Lepisosteus oculatus: one gene and its partner. Each later gene encodes a partner of the first gene's protein in a complex. Links are inferred from orthologs where the notes say so. Each region holds a gene or a part of one and is shown on either strand. Other genes may lie near its edges. The genes, in order: tsen34 and tsen15.

What was found.
Region 2: the proteins of tsen34 (region 1) and tsen15 are in contact, whole or in part, in a crystal structure (PDB 6Z9U), measured with the Homo sapiens proteins. The link is inferred for Lepisosteus oculatus from reciprocal best matches to the Homo sapiens genes TSEN34 and TSEN15. Residues at the interface, in NP_001070914.1 of Homo sapiens: Pro251, Leu252, Arg253, Phe254, His255, Ala256, His257, Tyr258, Pro265, Glu266, Asp267, Thr268, Ile269, Pro270, Leu271, Gln272, Leu274, Ser283, Val284, Arg285, Lys286, Thr287, Leu289, Leu290, Cys291, Ser292, Gln294, Val300, Tyr301, Thr302; in NP_443197.1 of Homo sapiens: Leu70, Lys74, Trp76, Thr108, Pro109, Ile110, Thr111, Ala112, Ser113, Leu114, Ser115, His116, Asn117, Ile119, Arg120, Leu123, Leu141, Ile143, Val151, Tyr152, Tyr153, Lys154, Leu155, Thr156, Asp157, Gly158, Phe159, Met160, Leu161, Pro162.

What each region holds. Positions count from the first base shown.
Region 1 is NC_090708.1:2,593,085-2,604,507, reverse strand, and holds tsen34 (tRNA-splicing endonuclease subunit Sen34), read right to left. Parts: upstream 4,790-11,423; coding exon 4,427-4,789; exon of another isoform or gene 3,519-4,426; coding exon 3,383-3,518; exon of another isoform or gene 2,784-3,382; coding exon 2,505-2,783; exon of another isoform or gene 2,179-2,504; coding exon 1,991-2,178; 3' UTR 1,649-1,990; downstream 1-1,648. Other genes in the region: glutamate-rich protein 6, read left to right, coding at 282-437, 619-847, 950-1,222; gpr119b (glucose-dependent insulinotropic receptor), read right to left, coding at 6,686-7,606. UniProt on the Homo sapiens protein: Constitutes one of the two catalytic subunit of the tRNA-splicing endonuclease complex, a complex responsible for identification and cleavage of the splice sites in pre-tRNA. It cleaves pre-tRNA at the 5'- and 3'-splice sites to release the intron.
Region 2 is NC_090704.1:31,147,960-31,158,952, forward strand, and holds tsen15 (tRNA-splicing endonuclease subunit Sen15), read right to left. Parts: upstream 4,432-10,993; 5' UTR 4,297-4,431; coding exon 4,168-4,296; intron 3,078-4,167; coding exon 2,996-3,077; intron 2,871-2,995; coding exon 2,735-2,870; intron 1,371-2,734; coding exon 1,184-1,370; 3' UTR 714-1,183; downstream 1-713. Other genes in the region: colgalt2b (procollagen galactosyltransferase 2), read left to right, coding at 8,753-8,988. UniProt on the Homo sapiens protein: Non-catalytic subunit of the tRNA-splicing endonuclease complex, a complex responsible for identification and cleavage of the splice sites in pre-tRNA. It cleaves pre-tRNA at the 5' and 3' splice sites to release the intron.

The DNA of each region.
Region 1 (11,423 bases):
GCCTTCATAAGCTTTTTGTGATCTTTGTCTTAAATATACTTACTGGTACTCTGCTTTTCAGTATCTGAAATGCATAAAGGTGTGGTAAAAGACAGAGTCCTAACCTTGCTTGTCAATTTAATTTCTCCCTGTGCCAGAGATTGCCATTGTTTGCTTTTATAAGCGTATGTATCAAGCACTTGGGATAAGCATCTCTTCAATTTTTTCCATCACTCGTGCTGATTTACCCTTGTTTTAACGCGATATAGCTTGTTTCATGTTCCTTATCATCAGCATCCTAGTTATCCCTCTGGAAACCTGTCAATCCTGGTCATTGTCAATGAGAAAAATGAATCCGCATGCGTGGTGCAGGAGGACAGGCTGGGAGAAGCGGCCATCCGGGCCATATTCCAGTCCAACGGAAAAGCCACTTGCTATCACCCGAATGGAGTTGTTTGGTAGGGTCCGTCTCCAATTTCCGGTTAGCTCTTTTTCTGTAACAATTCTTTGCCCTGAAGTGCAGTGATTGAATCAACATTGCTCATGCACCAATGAACAGAAACAGCCCAAGACGATCCATTTGAGTCTCAAATGCAAAAGCATCGCCATGATGATCATTTCCCCCCCTGTGCGGCGCAGGTTGAGCATCGATCTTTTCGGCGGGCTGTGCCTGGATGAGAGGGGCGCCAAGCTGCGGAGGTGGAGGTGGAGCGAGCTCCCTGCCTCCGATCGGCCATCCCCCTTCAAGCCCCTGTTCCTGTCGCTGAACCCTCACGTCGGCGTCCGCGTGCTGGAACAAAGGAAGATGTCCGTGTCCTTCCTGGCTCTGGGGCAGCAGGCCAGGTTCAGCGTGGGCACGGTCCTGCAGGTGCAGCACGCGTTCTGGAAGGCATGAATCAGACCCGTCCCCCGGTGTTGGGGAGGGGCTCTCAGCTGCCGTCAGCCGGTAACCGTCTCGTCGTTCCCCCAGGTAAAGGAGCCCAGACTCGCTCCCCCCGTCAGGCCCGCCCTGCTGAAGGAGGACCTGCTCCTGCTGGCGGGGAGGATAAAGCTGCACTCCGCCTTGCACAAGCTGCACAGCTGCCTGCGCTTCCCCGCCCACGGGCAGCCGCCCAGACCCAAGCCCCCCTCGTACCTGACCTCGCTCAGCCGGAGGCTGTGGAGCGTCTGCTCGGCGGGGGCCCTGCCGCTGGACGAGGGAGAGAGGGCGTTCATCGAAGGCTCGGTGAAAGACTGCCTGTGACCTCGCCGGCCACCCCGCTCCGCCAAAGGCCGCGCGGGAAAAGCTCGCGCCAGCCCGGCAAAGCAGCTGCACGATCAACGGGAAACTCTTCCATTACCGCCAGCTGTGAACTGACAGGGCTGTGTTCAAGTAAAGGCGCGCCAGTCCTTTTTTCTTCGTATATAGGAGTGTAACACACGACCCTGGAACACGCTGTGCAAACACGACAAACACAGCCGTCTCCTCTCAGACTTTCACCCATCTCTTCTCTTAACTGCTTCACCCACATCAGGGTTGTGGGGGGGCCCAGGAGCCCATCTCTGCAAGCAACAGACATGATGCTTCTAATCCTGTCTGCGTGGAATATTAAAACTGCATTCCTCAATCACAGTTCTCACGTGCTAAAGCTAGATTATGCCATGTATGTTAAACAAAAGAAAAACGAGATTTCCCTTAAAAAAAGTCATTTATTGTCTTTATCCATACAGAACGATACCCCCTCCTGACCACTGGATTTTTATTACTCCAGCTGTGCAAGTAGCAAAGGCGCAGAACTCCGTCCAAGCAGGCTTGAGGTTCGTCCAGGTTAAAAGAAGAAAGCCGACTCCGAAGGCAGAAAGGCACATCTGTGAGACGGGCACGGGAACGGCGCAGTGCTGGCAGGGAGGAAGGTCATCTGAAAGGCCAGCCTGTGCACACTTTCCAACAGCACCCTCGTCATCGGCGGGACCCCGGGGCGTCCCTCCGCACCCCACAGGAGCCCCCTCCTCCTCACCGCCGCCCCCACGCCTAGACCATGCCGCTCCACTGCAGGGAGGTGTAGACGACCCCCCCGCTCTCGCCCGGGGAGCACAGCAACACGGTCTTCTTGACGTTGGAGCCCAGCCGGGACAGAGCCAGGAGGTCGCTGAGCGGCGTCTCGGCCTCCGGGGGAAGACACACGGCGATGAAGTGAGCGTGGAAGCGCAGGGGGTCCCCTGGAGGAGAGGCGGACAGGCACTCTGAGGCGCGGACACCCCTCTGTGCGCGCGGTCTCGCGTGACGCAGCACAGGAGGGTCCGACCCCGGTCCAGGAGAGCCCCCACCCAACGGGTTTCACAGCTCATCGCGAAATCACCGGCTTCTACAGGCCTGCCACAGGCTAGCCCTGACCAGCCACTTGTTAAATTAAGCAATTTAGAGATCGTTAACGAATCATTTGCCTTCATCGAATACGTTACTTGCTTATTTGATTACTTCCGGGAGTTCCCTAGGAGATCAGTCACTCCAGGACCGGAGTCGGAGGCTCCCGGTGAATACATACCTGGATAGACGAGGTAGTCTCCTCCAAATTTGCCGGCGGGCGTGACGTAGTAGCCCCGCCGCCGCAGGTCCCGGTACACCCGATACCGCGCTTCCGTTCTCTCGTCGCGCGGCTGGGGCCAGTCGGCGGCCATCAGGAGGCGCTCCTCCGGCTCGTACCCGAGTCGCGCCCTGGCGGTGCACAGCTGCACCGCCGTCGCCGCCTCGGGGAACGTGAAGGAGCTCTCCAGGGAGCTCAGCCGATCCCTGAGTGGCAGCTCCGCGCCGGCGGCGCCCCCGTCTGGAAGAGGAAGAAGGGTCAGAGTCCCAGAGGGCCGAGCGAGCGGGCCAGAGAAGGGAAGCCAGCTCCTGCCGCGGTCTGGGCAGCGTGGAGCTCCGCGGGGGCCGAGGAGTCGGCGGAGCTCAGCTGCTGCCCCTGCTGGCACTCGACCACGCCCGCTCGGCCGCACAGCGCCGCCCCCTGGACAGCAGCGAAGGCGCGGGTCCTTTTCTGCCGCGGCACAATTCGACACGGCAGCCGCGAGGAGCGCCGGGAATCGATCGCGGTCAGGAGCGGCGCGAGACTGGGGCCGGCGCACCCAGCAGAGCTGAACACGGCCTGGGCTTCAGACGGACAGTCCCTCCCGTAACCGGCTCAGCGTGCCTATCCCCGTTCGGCGGAGGAGATCGGCACCCCTTCCACAGGCAAGGACGTTCCCCCCCAGCTGCCCGCAGACAGCAAGGCGAAGGAGTCTGGGACGGGGGAGAAAGACAGACTGGCATCTCGGAGCGAGTGTGACATGAACAACCCCTCTGAGCTGGGAGGCTGCCAGGAGAGGTCGGCCAGGCAGCCCCAGCTTCGTACAACCGCTCGGCGTACGCCTCACTGCAGCCCTTTACCCTTCTGTTTCTGGTTCATCACTCTCTGCAACACCTGCTTCCTGTCCTCCAGGGCGATCTTCTTCTGCTCCAGGAAGCTGTGCTGCAGCCTCTCTCGGTATCTCTCCACCTCCTCTGCCCTCACGCCATCTTCAGCCTGGAAGAAAAAAACTTCCTACCTGACGTTCAAACTCAAACTCCGGACCCCCATCTGGAGACTCGGGGGGCACTCGCATGAGGAACTATTCTGAACAAGGTCACAGACTTTCACTTATTTCAGACAAAGTCAATACAGACAAAGACTTCAATAGCAAGAGAGGCAGGGGGTGAGGCAGCCAAATCCAGTTATTAATAATAATCCTTAGACTTATGTAGCGCTTCTCTGGACACTCCACTCAAAGAGCTTTACAAGTAATGGGGATCCCCTCCACTACCACCAGTGTGCAGCCCCACCTGGATGATGCTCCAGTCCTCTCCCCACACACCAGCTCTCAGTGGGGAGGAGAGCAGAGCGATGAAGCCCGTTCAGCCAGTTCTTAAGAGGAAGCCAGTTATTAAGAGGCCAATGACTGGTAAAGGCCAGGTGAAAATTTGGCCAGGACACTGGGGTTACACCCCTACTCTTTTCAAGAAACTCCCTGGGATTTTTAAAGACCACAGAGAGTCAGGACCTCGGCTTTACGTCTCATCCGAAGGACGAGGGGCATTAGGACCCACACAGACTGCAGGGTGAGCGCCCCCTGCTGGTCCCACTAACACCTCTTCCAGCAGCAGCCTCAGCTTTCCCAGGAGGTCTCCCATCCAGGTACTGACCAGGCTCACACCTGCTGGGCTCCAGTGGACTGCCAGCTGGGAGTTAATTTACAGCCAGTTTATATATCAGTGTACCCCATGTACAAACTGGCTATAAATCATTATATAAACATTCTTCTCGTGCTAGAAGAGCCAAGATGAATTAAACCAGATCTTCCCCGTCACTTGGTCACCTATCAAGCTGACACAGCCAGAGCCTCTCACCGCGGGGTGTCGGGAAACGGAGGCAGGAAAACCCAGGACGGCGCTCACCTCCGGCGGAGCTGCGGTGACCAGCACGGCGCGGCCTGTGTCCCTCAGCAGGCGGGCCTCCTCCGGCAGCAGCTGGGCCGGCCGGCCCAAGCGGAGGTTCTGGCGGGGCTGGCGGGCCAGGGATCCGATGAGCGTGCCCACCACCCCCGCCCGCTCCCGGGCCCCCCGGACGTCGGCTGCCCTCCACAGCAGAGGAGTGGAGCCGCAGAGATAGACCTGGGCTGCCGCAGTTCCCGTCTCCAAACCGGGCTCAACCGGAAGCCTCTCCTCTTCGGACCCGGGTTCGGCTGGCTGTTTGCATCTCCCGTCCCCCCTAGTCTCTGGCTCACTTTCAAACCCCGTCTCTCCTGGGTGTGCGGCCATGGGGTACACAGCTATATTATTTCATCTGTTCCTCTGAAACTTTTTCTCCCGTTTCCTAGCTCCGTTTATCTCCGACCAGCAGCCTTCACGGAGCGTGCATAACTCATCAAGCAGCGGGTTTTCCCTGCTATGTGCCTTCGGACTTGAAACTCAGTCTGCAAATCTGCAACCCTTCCTCGCTCGAGTCCGACAGTGCAATGGAAATCTTGAAGAGACACGTTGATATTATAATCTTAATCAGAATATTTAATAAAATAACCCTGCTGTACTGTGGTGTCTAGTACTTGTTACTTTGTTATGCAATATTCAACTTGGACAGTTCTTAATTTAACGCACGCGTTGTATTTGAGTGTAAATAACTTGCAATCCGGAGCATCTATCTAAACAGACAGCTCTCCACGTGCACATTACGCTTTCCCTAGAAATACTGGATCTCAAACTGAGGTTAAGCTGCTTAAGCAGAAGTGGAACATAAGCTCTAATGCAAAACCCTAGCTGTTATCTCTATTTAACGGCGAGAGCACGAAACCTCTAACTGGTTTTGCTCACCCGGTCGGAGGAACACGACTCGATCCCATTTCAACTCTAATATGGCAGCCTTCGGTCGTCTCCGGAAGGGCTCGGGCGTTTCCGGCGACCTGGGGGCGGTTCCCATGGACGCGGTGACGTCAGTCAACATGGCGGCCTCCTCGGCTGGGTCTGATCAACTCTTTTCTTAATGTTTTCTTAATAAAGAGGTAAGTTGTATCTTTAAGGAACAGGTAAAGGTTTATTCTAGGAAAGGAAAACGTTTCGGTTGTGGAGCCTTCTTTGGAGGTGTCAGACCGAGTTTAGGTCATTCAAGTAGCAGGAAACTGTTTTACTGTGTTCTCACTGCGACTCTTTATTCAAGACACTGGAGAAATCTTATTTCGTTTACCTTGCTGAAATGTTATTTGAAACTTGAAGCGCTCTGCGGTACGGTGATTCTTGGGGCGCATTTCAGACAATCCGTTTGCAAGCTTTTTAAGAAAAACGCCGTGCAGAAGCAATTTTATTGTGGGGTTCTCGTCGTCGCCACACACGGCACCGCAGTTTAAACAGGAGTGAATTATTTTTTAGTTTTGACTGGGAAAATAAGTTACGCTTTAAATTCCTTACATGAGGTACTACGGAGCTGAGGAAATCAATACATACAGTTAATAAGTGAACCTAATGCAGTAACAATATTTTAAGTAAATGTGTATTAAGAATTAACAATAAAAACAATGACGTTTCCATCTTTATTAGCCTCCAAAATACCGTAGTGTAGGTCTTTGGCAAGGTTTTTGTTGTAAAATAATGAATTGATTACAGATCGAGAGAGAACATTATTTCTTGTTTTTAATCCATACTGTCACAGGGGTTAAACAACACGCCTAAAATACTTCAATACGTATTTTGGAGACTGTCCTATTGTTTTATAAGAAATATCTTCATCGGTAAAGGAAAACCCTGTAGCACCACCTAGTGTCTGTAACAGCAGCCTGGACGTGTGCGATTGTTTCTGTCTCGGTAGTATGAAAACGAGTCCAGTTTCTTCTGTCTGCGTGGACAAGCTGTGATGTCTTATTGCTATCACTAGTGCATGTGTAAAAACGCGACGTCCATTAAACAATCACAGTTCAAAGGTTGTGCTTTATAACAAAAAGCTTGAAATTCCTCAATACGACAACCTCTATCCTCGATATTCGAAATAATAGTTTAAACGTTGCAAGACACAGCATTCCTAACGAATAAGGTATATAAGTAATATATACAATATATAAGGTAATAGGCACACACACATATATATATATAGTTGGAAAACACTTAAAACCGTTAGGGAATTGTATTTAGCAGACACAGGGATGTCTTACAACGGTCCCCAAACCATTGTCAGTTTTTATTGTGGCGGAGCTGCAGTGCACGAGCCCGCGATATCTTCTTCCACCAGCCAGCTTGACACACGCGGGACTTGATGTCGTTGCTGCAGAAGGCGTAGATGAGGGGGTTGAGGAGCGAGTTGAGTTCTCCCAGCAGGAAGAGCTCGTCCCTCAGCAGGGCCTTCAGGTGGCACCGGGCGCAGGAGGCCTGCACCAGCCCGGCCATGTAGTAGGGCCCCCAGGACACGGAGAAGCAGACGATGACTACGAGGACCGTGCGCAGCGCCTTGAAGTGTCTCAGGTCCGCAGACCGCGGGGGCGCCGGGCCGACGGAGACCTGCCGGATCCGCTGGCGCTGCAGGTGAGCGGTCCGGCCCAGTAATATCTGGGCGCAGATCAAAGTGAGGAACACGGGCATAAAGACCACGAAGCAAATGATGTACAGATACTGATTCTTCGTCGAGTATAAAAGGCCACAGACGCCCGTATAGTTAGTCTGCTGCAGCTGCGGAGCAATTAGCGGCAGGTTGCCCACGGAGAAAGAGAGACCCCAGAGAGCAGCGAGGGCCGCCGACACAGTCCTGTTGGTCACGGTTTTGTGGTAGTGGAGCGGACGGGTCACAGCCAGCCACCGGTCGAGAGAAATGAGCAGCAGAGTCAGCACAGAGCCCACGCAGGGACTGATGGTGAAGCAGATCCTCAGCAGACAGAAGGTCAGATTCTTGTCGAAGTCGCCGTCGTACAGATCGTCCAGGGTCTCCACCACGCACATGAGCCCTACCAGCAGGTCCGCCACGGCCAGGTTGATGATGAAGACGTAGCCCTTCGCACGCTTAGCCTTGATCAGCTTGTACGCCACAATAATCACAACTATATTCGGAACCGGAATCAAGATCCCCAAAGTCGCGTGCAACACGGCGTACACAACTGACATTCCTAACAGCGCTGGTTCCCGGCGGGATTCACCAGACCGTGATCGCTGCAGTCATCGCTGTGCACAAAGTGACACGGGTCTCGGTTCTCCAGAGGTCGTTTCAATGCTCGTGAAACAGCATCAGGCAAGACGGCCAAGATTTGTTAGCACATCTCTCTGATTATTCAGAGGAAAATCCGTCCGTTTCACTGTGAGATCCCCTCTGAATGACAAGCCCGATGAAGTTATTTAGTCCGGTTTTCTCCCGTTTTGGAGTTGTATAACTCACAGGTTCTCGGACTGCTCTCCACACTTTGCTGCAATGATGTGATGAAAGGGGGGAAATTGTTATCACAAAATACACAGGTAGATCTTCCGTTTCTCTCCTTGTTCAAACAAGGCTAGATAAGCTATCACAACTGGTCATGCGCAATGTGTACTTGAGGGTACACGCCTTTTCTGTGTTGCTTCCAGGAAAACCATGTTGTTTTTGCTCTCTTACAATAATCGGTTCATATTTAGGCATCAAGCTGAAATATTGGCTCTGTTTAAAACTGCTGTATTTTGTGCTTCCCTGGTGTCTTTGTATTTCAGTTACTTAAGGATTTTCAGCACCATGGGTTAAGACCTGTGAAAGATTTCACTTTTCCTCGCATGTCACGATGACATGCGTCTTGATTCTGTCAGCATTATTTAGACCAATAAAACTGCTTTAGTGTCAGACGCAAGCAGACTACGGTTTAAAAGGGAGGAAAATCCCTCCTTGCTGTAGTTTAATACAGAACCATCATCCAGCCATGAGGAGAGGATGAAGTAGATTTTTAAGAGTTCTTGTTTTTAGGTCCATGCATTGGGCAGTAGGCACTGGGGTGCTTTTGTAAAGCTGAGGCATGGAACAGCAACTTTATTGGCTTGTACTTAAAAAGCACTTTTCATTACAGTACACTCTCTATATATGGGATTCATCCAGTACTGAAGTGAGGCATCAGTTCTCCAGTTGAGTTAAGGGGAAACGTCAGGGATGCCCGAGTCAGTGTGTATCTAGGACACACGGGTAACAGTCCTGCTCTTGGGCACAGCGCTAGGGAAATTTCAGTCCCCCGTCTTGTGGCGCAAGCTGGCACGTTCCCAGATCTGGCTAAGGCAAGAATTCCCTGGACTTCTCACTCCGGAGGTGAATGGGAAGTTTAAATGCAGCTGCAATGCCCAGTTTGCACCCAAGGTCTCCTTTTATAAGAATATAACTGGAAATGGAGTGAAGATCAAATATAGTTTTACAGGTATGTCTTTCAGACTTACATTCCAAATTTGTCGGGTTGTTTTTTTTTTTTACCATTTTTAAACAGCTAATTTTATAGGATCCCAAATTCTGGGGCAGGAGAAAAAACAGTCTGGAAAAAGCAGGTGTCCTTAAACTAAGGGCTCTCGGCTCGGGCAGGTGTGGAATGTACCCGAGTCGGCCAGGACACCTCATGTTGGTCCGTGTCACTGCTGTATCCTGATCAGTAACGGCTCTAAGAAATACTCCAGCCCACACCAGGTGTGTAAAGAATGTATGAAGAGAGACAAATGTTGTGCATTAAAGTTCTCTGCTGATGTTTGGCTTATAAACATTAAACACTGTACATCTCTACACCATTCAGGATCAAAGACAGCTGCCAAGAGCATAGGTTAATGTATCATGGAGAGAGCTGGAGAACTGAAGAGGTTCAGTCCAGAAAAGTTAATCAGTAATGAGTCCTACAATAAAAAAGAAGTCACCTTAACAATTCTGTTGCCTGGTGACATTTGTTCTGTATAAAAACTGTCCCGCAGACCCTACAATATTCTCATCACCTACAGATCTGCATTTGCTTTGCCTGTGCCAACAACAGCCATGCAAATTCTGTGAAACCCTTTTAAACTTTTGTCACAGGGGAAAAAAAACATCAAATCATTTCTGCTTATTTAGCAGAACTTACCAAGAATTGTAAATGACATCAATGTGATTAAATGTTTTGATAGGAAGAAATACAATAAAAGCAAACAGTTCATCACCAAACGACGATTCCTGTCATTTATATGCAGGGAAAAACAGACAGCCATCCAAATCCATCCAAAGAAAAGCAAACAGGATTGCTTACACTTTATTCTCGATCCCATTTATAACTCTCTGTAAGGAATATATTAACACGATTAATTTCTGTCATGAACCATTAAGAAAAATTAGTGCACACCCTAGGTTAGGAGAACAATTCAGAATTTGGGATTTGTTGCTAACATCTTGTACAGCAGAGACTGGTTATCATCTAATACATATCAGTCTATTAATACCTTTCAAATAGTTGTTTTATAAATGCCAAAGTGATAAAGTGGTAACCATAAAATTATCTGTTTTGTGTACCATAATCTAACATTTAAAGTATTTCATAAAAGGTACTTGGTAAATCACTAACTGCATTATTCTGTTACACTTCTGTTTACAAATGTCACATGAAATCCTCACAAGTCTGAACTTCCAAAATGACCAATTAGTTGATTGGCAAGCAGTGGACATAAAAAGACAACAGTCTCGATGCAACAGTGAACAGATAACAGTCTCAATGCAGCGATCCTTCTTGAAACACCGTTAAGTTAATTGCACACCCCTTCAAAAATCCCACTTGAGTAGCAGAGATGCTCAACAATCAAACTTTTTTTTCCCTGTTAGACATAATCCACTTTATTATAATTTTAATTCCACTTTATGCTATAAAAAGAAATATAAAAATTACAACCAATCAGAAATCAACTTAAAAATGTCATTTGGATGTTTATCTGACATTTTTTTGAACTGCGAAATACAAAATACAACAAACGTACGTTAACATTTAGCTATACAAAGGCTCAAATTAGTGAATAAAAAATTGAAACTATACATTTTATTGCACCCTGATGAACGTGCTGCAATAAAAATGAACATCCCCAATGCTCAAGGTCACCCGTTTCAAAGGAGCACTCCCAGAGGTTCAGCAAGACTGATAAGAGCTTCCAGCCTGCACTTGCAGAAATCTGCCTTCAATGCAGTCCTTCATAGACATCAGCTCACTGCCCGTGGAGAGAGCCATTTAAAACCTGGAACACAGGGCAAAGCGTTAAACATTTCTTCTGGAGTTAGTCTACATTCAGAACTCTTTTCCAGCATTGACCGTTCTTGCCAAATCGCACAGAATGAGGGGCGAGATTCCATACAGATGCAGGAATATATAAATCATCTTTCAATAAGTGTATTCTGAAATGTGCACAAAAAATTTGGATATCTTTAACAGTGGGCCAGACGTATATATAACCCTGGTCCTTGAAGGCCAGTGTGTTCGCAGGCTCTCATTCCAACTCAGCTCTTAATAATGGCACAAATTAGCTTGTAACAGGCTTAATAAGACAATGTTTAACAGCCTTTCCCAGCTCTTGAGATGCAGCTCCTATAAACAGACCTAAGCAAACCTGCAGACACACCGGCCCTCCAGGATCAGAATGGGACAACTCCTGCTCTAGACACACAAGTTAGAACCTCTTTCATCTCTACAATCAATGAAAAACATCTCACGATGTCACAGACCAGAAACCTACAGGAGGGCTCTTCGCCGTTAGCAGACCAGGCTATGACCGGTGATGTGGCAGTGAATCCATGCGGGCGTTCAGCTTCATCTCGTTCTCCAGGATCTGGACGAGCTGCTGCATCGATGGGAGATGGCCTGATTCCAGCTTAGACCACACTGGAACATCTGCACCAAGCAAAAGCACCACAGTCCTTTTAAGGATGTCCCAGTAACGGCTCACCCGCAAGAGCCATTTATGTGCATTAGAACAGTAGTGCTTA
Region 2 (10,993 bases), on another chromosome or scaffold:
TTTAAAGCTTGAAGGAAAGGTGCCGGCGCCTTTTCAGCTTGATCTCAGGTGCTGCTCCTTGACCCGACTGACTTGCAGCATAAAAGTTTGCATGCTCCTACTGAAAAGTAACTGAAGAAAACAGCTCAAACATTCCTCATACTCAATATCAACACCCCGGGGCAGGACCACAGGAGTTTACTGGGACTTTACCATCCTTCAGTCAGCCACTGCTCTCCAGCCAAACGCTCCATTACTTCACGGAACAACGTCTTTGACTAACTGGGAACATGTAGCACTTTTTTTCCCCTCAAGCCTCAAGGGTTTCCAGCTACTATATTGTAAACTAAACGCCTCATTTAAAGCATCAGCCCAAAACGAAACCTTGCCAAAATCATGCTTAATAGGCCTAGTTAAGCAAATCAACAATGTTAATTTAGGGCTTGGGCTGGAGCTCAAACCTCAGGGCCCTGAGGCCCTGAACGCCAGCAACTGTGAACCAAAAGAAGCGCTCTCCCGCCCCCTGGTGGGTAGTAGGGGAACGGCGCACTGGCTAGTCTGAGGCCTGGGCCTGTGGAAAACGTGCGCTAGTGAGCTCATACTCCAGAGGTGAGCGGAATGCAGAGGGGCAGCTGCCAAGCCCCAGCCCATAAAGAAACAAACTTTCCTGGCTGTTACTCTAACACTACATCATCTGTCTGTGGTGGGGTGCTCACAAACGGAGAAAATGGCACTGCCTTTTAAAAAAATATTTATGATTCGTGAGTTCCTTGATTTGTACAGCGCTTCTGAGCAGATCCAGTGTAGAAGCAGTACAGAACAGTGGGGATCTGAATGTCAAGGGGACGTGGTGTAGGTTAAACAGGGTGCCAGTGTGTTGGTGCCCAGTTGCCCAGCAAGTGTCAGGGACTTGCTTCTCCACTGTTTTCCTCCCTCCAGATCAGTGATCAGTCTCTGTCCGGATTCTCACAGCTCTGGCTTCTTCACTGCAGAGAGCAGGCTCCACACAACTGATTGGTCTGCAGTGTCCAGAAGCTTTGTGCCCTTGGTATCGCTTCCTGAGAATCGGGGTCCGCTCCCCTCAATGGTACCCGGCCACTGGAGTATCAGGACCTCCTATGTGCAGTGGTGACCTGGAAATGCCCTCAGGTGGCTTGTAGCATTGGCCATGAGCCCTGTGTGCCACGCCATTTACCCCGCGACCTCAGCGCAGGCGCCTCTTGCGGTGCTGCCGGTGATCCTGGTCCGCGATGTCCTCAGGGGGGCTGGGGGTCAGCAGGCCAGCGGTCAGCCGGTGGTAGACCAGGCTGGAGTCAGGGGCCACAGCGCAGAGCAGCATGGAGGCTGGGGAGGCCCCCCCAGGGCCCGGGGAGCCCAGCAGCGTCTGGATCCTGGGAGACAGGAGAGAAACGGAGGCACAGGAAGGGGAAGAGGGAGCCTGTGAGTCTCGGGGCCAGGAGACACCACTGCAACCGCAGCGCTGCCGGTTCAGAAACGGCCCGGGCTTCCCAAGAGGCAGGGAGTCTTCCTCCAGGCACTGCGCGAGGAAGCAGGTGAGCAGATCACGGGCCCGCCTGGCGAAGGGCTGTCCCAGAACAGAGCTTCCGTCTCTGTGTCTGCGTCCGCAGGCTTCCCGGGGTCTCTTTTATATATATATACACACATGTGTGTGTGCTCACGCCTTCCAGCTAACAATCGCCCCTCGCGCAAGGAGATAAGAGGGACCCATTCGCGAACATGCGACAGCCGCGCGGTCAGATTCCCCTGCAGACGCGATGGTGCCACAGGCTCGATCCAGTTCCAGCTCCCAGTGGTCTAGAAAACCCGACCGCTGTGCAGGGCGGTCATGCCTGCATGATTGAAACACTGCAGGCGTGGCTGAGCTGGCAAGCTCAAAGATGTGGAACTTGTGTACAGGAGCAGACTAGAGGGCAGGTAGAGTCGTGTACTGTGTTGGTTATATAACAGGGACACTGAGTCTCTGAAAACAGGACTTAGGAGGTGCTGTGCCATCTGTGCACTGCTGATGGAGATACAGCCCAGCAGAGAGAACCAACTGTGCCTTTCACAGAATTATTTTACTTAGAGGTGAGGCTTTTAGCTTCAGTGCATTAAGTCAATTAGCGGCACCGTCACTTCGTTACTGACTGTACAGCTGATTGGCTTTTCATCTGAAACAGGGCGACAGCGACACTGTTTCTCCAGTCACTGCCCTGGCTCGGCCGGCCTCTCATCGCGTTTCAGAACGGTGCCCGTCCTTCTTTTCTCACTGCGCACCTCGTGGCTCACTCTCATCTCCTAGGGGGCCTGGCAGCAATTTAAGGAATATGATGCAATGGAGCCGAAAGTTTTCTCGCCGTTTTCTCAATCCAGCGGCTAAAATCAAAGCCTTTCCTCTGTACCACTGACTTTGCTCCAGGATCCCAGTTTCAGGAGGTGAAGGTGATTTTGTTTCCAATGACAGCGTCACCCTGGTTTAAATGCACACTAGGGTGGCAGTGTGTGGTTTGAGCCTCTGAGCAGCTAATGAGACCTGCCAGGCCTGAGCCAAACAGGTCTGGGCTACGGGGTGAAATCTGCCCTGCTTTTCTCCATTTTTTCACTCCTCCTCCCTCCTGAAGCCAGTCCAGATACTGAGTCAAGTTTCACTAGCTGTGACTGGTGAGGCAAGAAGCCCCCCCCCCCCTCCAGACTCTCCTGCCAAACCCCGCCCCCTGACCTCTGACCTCTGACCTCTGACCTGGCACTTTCTTACCAGCTGTGACTGATGGACCTCTGGGCCGGAACCGGTACGACAAGCTGCGTGGGCTGGCCTTCTCTCTCCCGCCCCTCCAGGAGCACCAGCTGAAGCTCGGAGCTCCCCCTGCAGGACACATCCTGCCACTGCCGCACTGCACAGGGGACAAGAGACAGGCACCCCACACGCAGAGCAGTTTAAAGTCCCTGTCGCACCGCGAGCACAGGCACAATCCAGCAGCCACTGCAAGAGCGCGCACAGACACCAACACACACCCACCTTCAGTGAGGTCCACGTAGGCCAGGAAGGCAGCATACACCTGGGCTGAGTCCCCCAGCTCGAGGCTCATCAGCTCCTGGTACTGAGACAGGGTCACCGTCAGAGCAGAGCACAGCACACTTCACACAGGTGTGGGTGTGGAGCAGGAGAAATTTGCCAGCAGCCACATCACACTGCAACTCACAGCCGGCAGCCCACTGAAGCTCTGTCAGTACCTGGATGGGAGACCTAAGGCTGCTCCTGGAGGAGGTGTTAGTGGGGCCAGCAGGGGGCCACTCACCCTGCGGTCTATGAGGGTCCTAATGCCCCAGTATAGTGACGGGGACACTATACTGTAAAAAGGCGCTGTTTTTTGGGTGAGATATAAAACCGAGGTCCTGACTCTCTGTGGTCATTAAAAATCCCAGGGCGTTTCTTGAAAAGAGTAGGGGTGTAACCCCGAGCATTCTGGCTAAATTTCCCATGTGCCCTCATCAATTATGGCCCCCTAATAATCCCCATCTATGAATTGGCTTCATTACTCTGTTCTCCTCCCTACTGATAGCTGGTGTGTGGTGAGCGTTCTGGCGCACTATGGCTGCCTTTGCATCATCCAGGTGGGGCTGCACATTGGTGGTGGTGGAGGGGAGTCCCCATTACCTGTAAAGTGTTTTGAGTGGAGTGCCCAGAAAAGCACTATATTAAGCAATTGTTATTATTATAAACAGTGCCGAGGGATCATCACAGACCACGCAATTCAGTCTAGTATCTCATCTGCAGGATGGCTCCACCTATTGCCGTTTCCCCACAAGGGTGCTTTGGCTTGCATTCTGGTCCACAGGGAAGAGCACCCCCTACTGGTCCACCAACACCAGCAGCCGTTTCCTCCTTGGAGGTCTCGCACCCCAGTACAGACCAGATCAGACTCAGCCTGCCTAGCTTCTGAGCTCTGAGCAGATCAGGCTAGAAGATTCGCACTACTACAGGGTGGACACTACTCGCTCCTACAGCAGCAGAAAGCAGCTATTTGAGTGTATAAATACCTAGAAAGCTCTCGAAAAGAACTGTTCTACACCCCTCACCAAGTGAATCATTTCTTCTCTTCCCTTTTCCGTGTGTAATTATACTGCAGGTCTACTGCAGAGCAACTGTAAAGCGAGTGTTATGAATTCGGCTTTCGGCTGAATTGGTACCTTGGGGTGCTGCAGTATCCAGTTAGCGGGCAGGTCTCGCTGTCTCTCCGCTCCCCTGGGGCTCTCCTCAGACTCGGGCTCACCCACAGCACACCCCTCTTCCGAGGTCACGGTCACCTCCACGTCCATCTCTCCCGCTGACCACCAATCAGAGCTGCATCGCTGTGACAGAGCGACCGACGGCTCTTACTCACAATTATCCGTATCTAAAACCACATGTTCCTTACTAACACTGCGCGCCCGACTACATCTCCGTCCGACAAGAAACTCCATGCACAGACTTTAGGTTCCGCCTTAAACGTTCCTTTAATACCCGAGCCCTGCATCGTTTAAAGCAAGCGATTCGTGTGGCCATATTTAATCCCATTTTCAATTCAATCCGCTACCACAATAATCACAGAAAATAAACTCTGGACGAGTAACCAAAAAACTTACAAAGTGTGCCCGTTTGCCTGTCAGTCACTAGAAACTAGGTCTGGGGTTTAGGGCAGACAGAGAATGAATAAAATGATAGTGCAATTCGAAACAAGTTGTGACAATTATGATTCCATTTTGACAACTAATAATAAAATACAAGCCCAATGTATACATTTGGAAAATTTTCCCTTTACAGTATACGTTCCCAGTCTGCTCGCAGTGCTTTTTGGTTCTTGTAGTCAGTTCAGCGCTATGTGTAGTGAGTGAGGCTTGAGAGTTCCAGATTTCTCCACCAGAGGGGGACAAAGCCCAGTTTGAAGTAGTACCATCGTCCATGTAGTTGTCTGCTTTCGTAGCATCTCGACAGCCGGTCTTCTGGTGTGCTGCCTCCGGATTAATTCGACACAGCATACTCACACCCATCCTCACACGAACAGACCGCGCCACAAAACACCACACTCTGCTCTGCCAAGTATACACACACTGCTACATTATTAGACCATGCTGAGCTATGCCGATTATAACATTGCCGGTTAAATATGTAATCAAAGGAATGAATGACTGGACAATCTCTATTACAGTGTTTAGAGCCACCTGGGTGCTATGCAGCTGTGAAGTGAGGTCATCGGTCGTGTCCTCACGCTTTGAACTGCTCATCCAAAGAGGGGGGCGATGGAAGCAGAGCAAGAGCGAGAGGGTGTGGGAGAGACTGACGAATCAGTTTGGGTTTTCCCTCTTCACCCACAGTCGAAGTGTGTTTTTCCTCTGCGGGGGGAACAGTTGTGTGAGCCCCAGTGGGTGAGGCGCTGTCACTCAAACCGAGCTGTGGGGATTCATTTTCCAAGGCGCTTGATACAGCAGCCGCGCTTCGCTGCACGACGGCTCGGTGGGTGTGTACAGATCGCAGCGGTGCTCCTGTTGTTTTTCGGCAAGAAGACAGGACTGTGCCGCTTACAGTAGCTGCTACACTGAGCTGGTCTCTAAGAACTCAACTGCAGGAAGTCTGTCCTGTGTTCGTGAGTTGGGGGTTAAAATGAGTCCCTCTGTGTCTTGGTGGAACCTCAGTCCCGACAGCACAAGTACTGTAATATTAAATTGATCGAAATTGATTTCCAGTGGAAGACTCAATAGAATTCCCACGTGTAACAGATTTAACAGGCTGGGGGGTATCGACGAATCCCTTTCTAATCTCCCCCTTAGCTGAGACTGTTGCCCATCACGGTTCCTCTGGAATCTTGTCTCGCAGATTTCCATCTCTATGGCCCCCTGTTCATCTTATGGAAGCCCGTTTCCGCCAGGAAGGAAGAAAAAAAACGCGCTATGGTATCTCAGAATTCCGACTTAGTATCTCAGAATTGCGACTTAGCAACTCAGAATTCCGACTTAGTATCTCAGAATTGCGACTTAGCAACTCAGAATTCCGACTTAGTATCTCAGAATTGCGACTTAGCAACTCAGAATTCCGACTTAGTATCTCAGAATTGCGACTTAGTAAGTCAGAATTCTGACTTAGTATCTCAGAATTGCGACTTAGCAACTCAGAATTCCGACTTAGTATCTCAGAATTGCGACTTAGTAAGTCAGAATTGCGACTTAGCAACTCAGAATTCCGACTTAGCAACTCAGAATTCCGACTTAGTATCTCAGAATTGCGACTTAGCAACTCAGAATTCCGAATTAGTAACTCAAAATTCCGACTTTATATCTCACATTTGTGACTTCGAAATAGCCGTATTTCATTGTCTGTCCTTTTGTTATTGTAACGGATTCGGGTTCTAGGGCTTGTGCCCTCGCCGCTTCCACCCTTGTTCGTGCCTCGCTGCACTGGCTCACTTTCTTTAACCCCAGCATCCCTGTTATGCGCAGGGGAGGGTGGTGTACTGCAACCAGATCGTACAACCTGTATGTCGGCCGTTCCGTTACACTATTTTCATGAATCGTACAGGATCATAGGATCTATAAGCCTGAAGACTTGTCCTGTACAGTGCCCTGATAAAAATCAAATTAATTACACTAATTTTTATAGAATCCCATTTCCGCCAGTGAGGCTTCCATAGTACCCGGATGGAATAGTGCACGGTGGGCTTTTTAAAATAGTTTTTATTTACGTAGACAGAATATGAAATAAGATACAGAAATAGGCACTTCACATCCAGAAGAATTCACAATTATAAAAGCTGAAACATACTTTTTACGTATTTCCATTGTATGTCCTTTTTTACTTAAAAAAGAAGGTCTTCTTTAGCTCAGCTGGCAAGACTCAGGTTCGAGCCAGTGCAGCGAGGCACGAACTAGGGTGGGAGCGGCGAGGGCACAATCCCTAGAACCTGAATCCGTTACAATAACAAAAGGACAGACAATGGAATACGGCTATTTCGAAGTCACAAATGTGAGATATAAAGTCGGAATTCTGAGTTGCTAAGTCGCAATTCTGAGATACTAAGTCGGAATTCTGACTTACTAAGTCGCAATTCTGAGATACTAAGTCAGAATTCTGACTTACTAAGTCGCAATTCTGAGATACTAAGTCGGAATTCTGAGATACTAAGTCGGAATTCTGAGTTGCTAAGTCGTAATTCTGAGATACTAAGTCGCAATTCTGAGATACTAAGTCAGAATTCTGAGTTGCTAAGTCGCAATTCTGAGATACTAAGTCGGAATTCTGACTTACTAAGTTGTAATTCTGAGTTACTAAATCGCAATTCTGAGATACTAAGTCGGAATTCTGAGATAGCATAGCGCGTTTTTTTTTTCCTCCCTGGCGGAAACGGGCTTCCATATCATCTTCTCCCTCACCGTCCTCACAAAGTTATTTCTGCGGTCTCCTCTATCCTCAAACCCTCACAGTCTTCCTCACCCCCACACACCTGGAGAGGCAACACAGCTGAAACGTTTTCTCACGACCTCAGCTTGTTCGCAGGCTGTATTCACTGACAGTTGTCACAACACGATATCCAAAATGCTTCAGTAATACAGCAATTTTACTAGCAGTCTAAGAAGTAGATGAAGAATTACATTAGTGGAGTACTAAAATAAATGGTAATACAGTGGAATGCTGGACGAATTGGCCGTGAAGTTAAAATCCTCACCCACTGCATTTTATGGGATTTTTTTAATAGACGGAGAAGTTGTTAACGAGACACAAGGCAAAGCCATCGGTTGCGCTCATACATGAAAAATGCGATTGTAGTCACTGCTGCAGCAATCTGGCAATGTCTGGCACCCAGCCTCCCACTGGCACCTGGGACCGGTGCCATTAAAACCGTGCCCGTCTTGAGACCCTGCGCCCAGCCACACACATCACTCAAACACACGGTGGCTCCAGAGCATTCAATCCAGAGCTTTGGTGAGACAGGACAGTGCGACCTACACAGACTACAGCTGTCTGAGACGATAGAGCTGGACCAGACCTAAAACGACCAGCACCTATGGGCTCTGTTTAACGCAGTAGCAAAAAGGTTCGGACTTGTGTCGCGCTTTTGTGCTAGTGCGTATTTCTACACGTTTTGTGTAATTCTAATACGTTACACAAATCTGGCGTCGACATCGATTTATAAAAGTTTCAGGAATACTGTGTCAGCTGGGACCGGTTTACAGGAGCCAAACAGCCATGACGACACAGCAGGACACGCCAAAACAATTAGGATCGTTAGACTAGTCAAAACACCCACCCTTCTTCTCGCTGAATACAGTGAAGCGAGATAGTGCGAGATTAGGGGGATAATACTGGAATGACGTTTAAACCCGTAACACCAGACCAGAAAGATAAAAGAAAAAAGTTGAGAGAAGACGACTACAGCCTGTAGCACATTCAGAAGAGGAGGTTTCCATGGGAACGCGCGTTAACGCGGTGACCCAGTAAGCGCTCCACACACCGAGCCGGACCCAGTGTGGGGCTACAGCTGGGGCAGAGGTCCGTCGGCGGGGCGCTGCTCTTGTGAAGACATTGTTTGAAAGAGGCAGCTGGGGGTCCTACCGCATACCCGAGTTCAGAGAGAGCGAGGGGGTGGGGGGAGAGGGGGGGAAGAGACGCCAGCCCCAGAGCAGAGAGCTGTGGAAAAGTCCTTCTCATTCAGCCAGTCTCTCTCTCCGAGCGAGCAGCGGAGCAGGGCGAGGCAGCTACGCCGGAGCCCAGGTCGTCGCGGACAGCGGTGCTCTCCGGGGAATCATGCCGCGTGTCAGGCTCCTGTCCCTCGCGGTGTTCGCCGCCCTCCTCGCCGCTCTCCTCTCGGGAGCGGGCTCGGAGCTGATGACCCTGGTTCAGGGCGCAGCCCGGCCCGAGTCCGCGCTGCTCAAGCCCAAAGTGCTGATCGCGATCCTGGCCAGGAACGCCGCGCACAGCCTGCCCTTCCACCTGGGCTGTATTGAACGCCTGGACTACCCCAAGGAGCGCATCGCTATCTGGTAAGAGCCCGCTCACCTGCCTTTGTACACTCTTTCCTTCCTTCGGTCATGTATGTTACGGGAAGCGTGCAATGAGAAACACGCTTTTCGCGTAAAGTGGCAAAACGTTTTTAAGCAGGGTTTTAAAGCCTCGCCTATATGCCGCGATAAAAAAAAAAAAATTAAAAGCGGTAGTTTTAAAAAGACTTCTAACGTCTGAGCCTTCCGGTTAGTGCGTTTAGTGTGTGTATGTACAGTACGTCTGCGTACCGTGCTGGTACAGCAGAGACTTTGAAAAGGTTCGTGGTGACTTTAAAACTTTAATCCCCTTCTGCCCGAGTCGGTCATGCCTGAGTCGGCAGCGAATTCCGGCACCCCATCCGCCTGGGCTATAACCCGTTCTGACAGCTCCGCCGAGGGTGCGCTTTTTGAAGTGGTGCATGTTCAAATCTGGGAGAAGGAGAGGGATCATTACTGCGTTTCTGGGGAGAGAGAGAGAGAGGAAGGGGCGGGAGAAGACACGCAGCGCTGACTCGTCAGCTCGGTCTTTCATGTGGGTTTGCAAGCTGCTGGGTCGGCCTGCGCGCACCTTGACAGGGGATTTGGGTTAAGCGAGCTGCGTGTCACCTGTGGGAGCAGAGGCCTTATCCCACCTGTTATTAAGACTTTGCTGATTAGAACCTTATTGATGCGCCGGATAATTGAGGGCTCGGCGGTGCCAGATCTCCCCGCACAGACTCCGCCATCCGTGAGCGCCTACCGTGCGCTCCAGTAAAGTCATGATTCGAAAGCTTCGACGAAAAAATCTTCAGGGCAAGCAGGAGCAATTGACTAGGTTAAGAAAGTTGAGTCTGTTTCGATTTAAACTTTGAAAAAAGAATAAGGCGATTCATTTTGAATCAAGGCTTTTTAAACGCAGACCCCAGTCCGGTTCTTTGGCGTGGGGATTCTGAAGGCTTGTCCCAGGGTCATGGAGTTCGCCTTGAGTAATGAGATGAAGCCGCGGGATGTCCGATTGACACCATGCTGCTGGAGACGGCGCCCCAGTTACACAAGCACAAGGCATGTTGCACATTTTCATTTTCAAGATCATTTCAGACCTCCCCATTGCAATGTGGTCTGCACTAAGAGTATCCTGAGTGGGGGTACTTCTCTATCCTCTCCCACTGAATCCCGCTGGGACGGATCCACACTCCCTCGACGTGGCTTGGGAGTGGGGAAAACGAGGGGATCGAAGCGGTGATCCCCAGACCGGCTCATTCTCCAGCAGCTGGGAGTCCCGGGAGAGCTTCCCTGCCGTCCCTCGTCGTGAGGCAGACACTGGTGACTGGAAATGTGCGCTCAGAGGTGGCACTTCCCCATGAGGTCCTGAATTCTGCCAGCTCGGAGACCAGCCATGGGAGATGAGCAGAGCAGGGTCGTGATGAGGTTCCCGTGCTTGGGAAATAGAGTTTTAGAAATGCTGTGAATGTGGAATAAAAGCCTATCTACAGTGTCTCCTATCTCTAGCTCATTGCATGAATCATTTGCAGAGCAGCATGCACTTTGCATGTAGGCACTGTTCAGAGGCTGTGTTCTGCAGAACCATATTCACAGAGTATTCCTGGTTTAGGGCTTTTGTTTTAAAGAAACACTATAGCCAACAATAGCAATTATGAGCTTATAATAAGCACTGTATATGGACATACTGTACGTTTTACAACTGCATTCATTATCAGCCAAGTGAATTATCAGTAACGGCTGTACTGATGTCTGGTAGAGTTCTCATTCAACCATTCTGTGAGCAGATTCAAGGCACTTATAATGGAGGAGGTTGGAGATCAGGATGGAATTCAGATAATGTCAAATAAAATAACGCAAGACACAAGAAAAGAACAAGGTCTTGTTCCTCAGTGAGCCTGCATCGAAGAGCCTAGCAGGGGCCCGGGGGGGTTGCGGTTCTGACCCAGATCGATTCAGGACTGGACCCACAATGCTCTCTAAACACTGGATTTTGGGTGACAAGATCCCCGAAAGTCAACTCCCA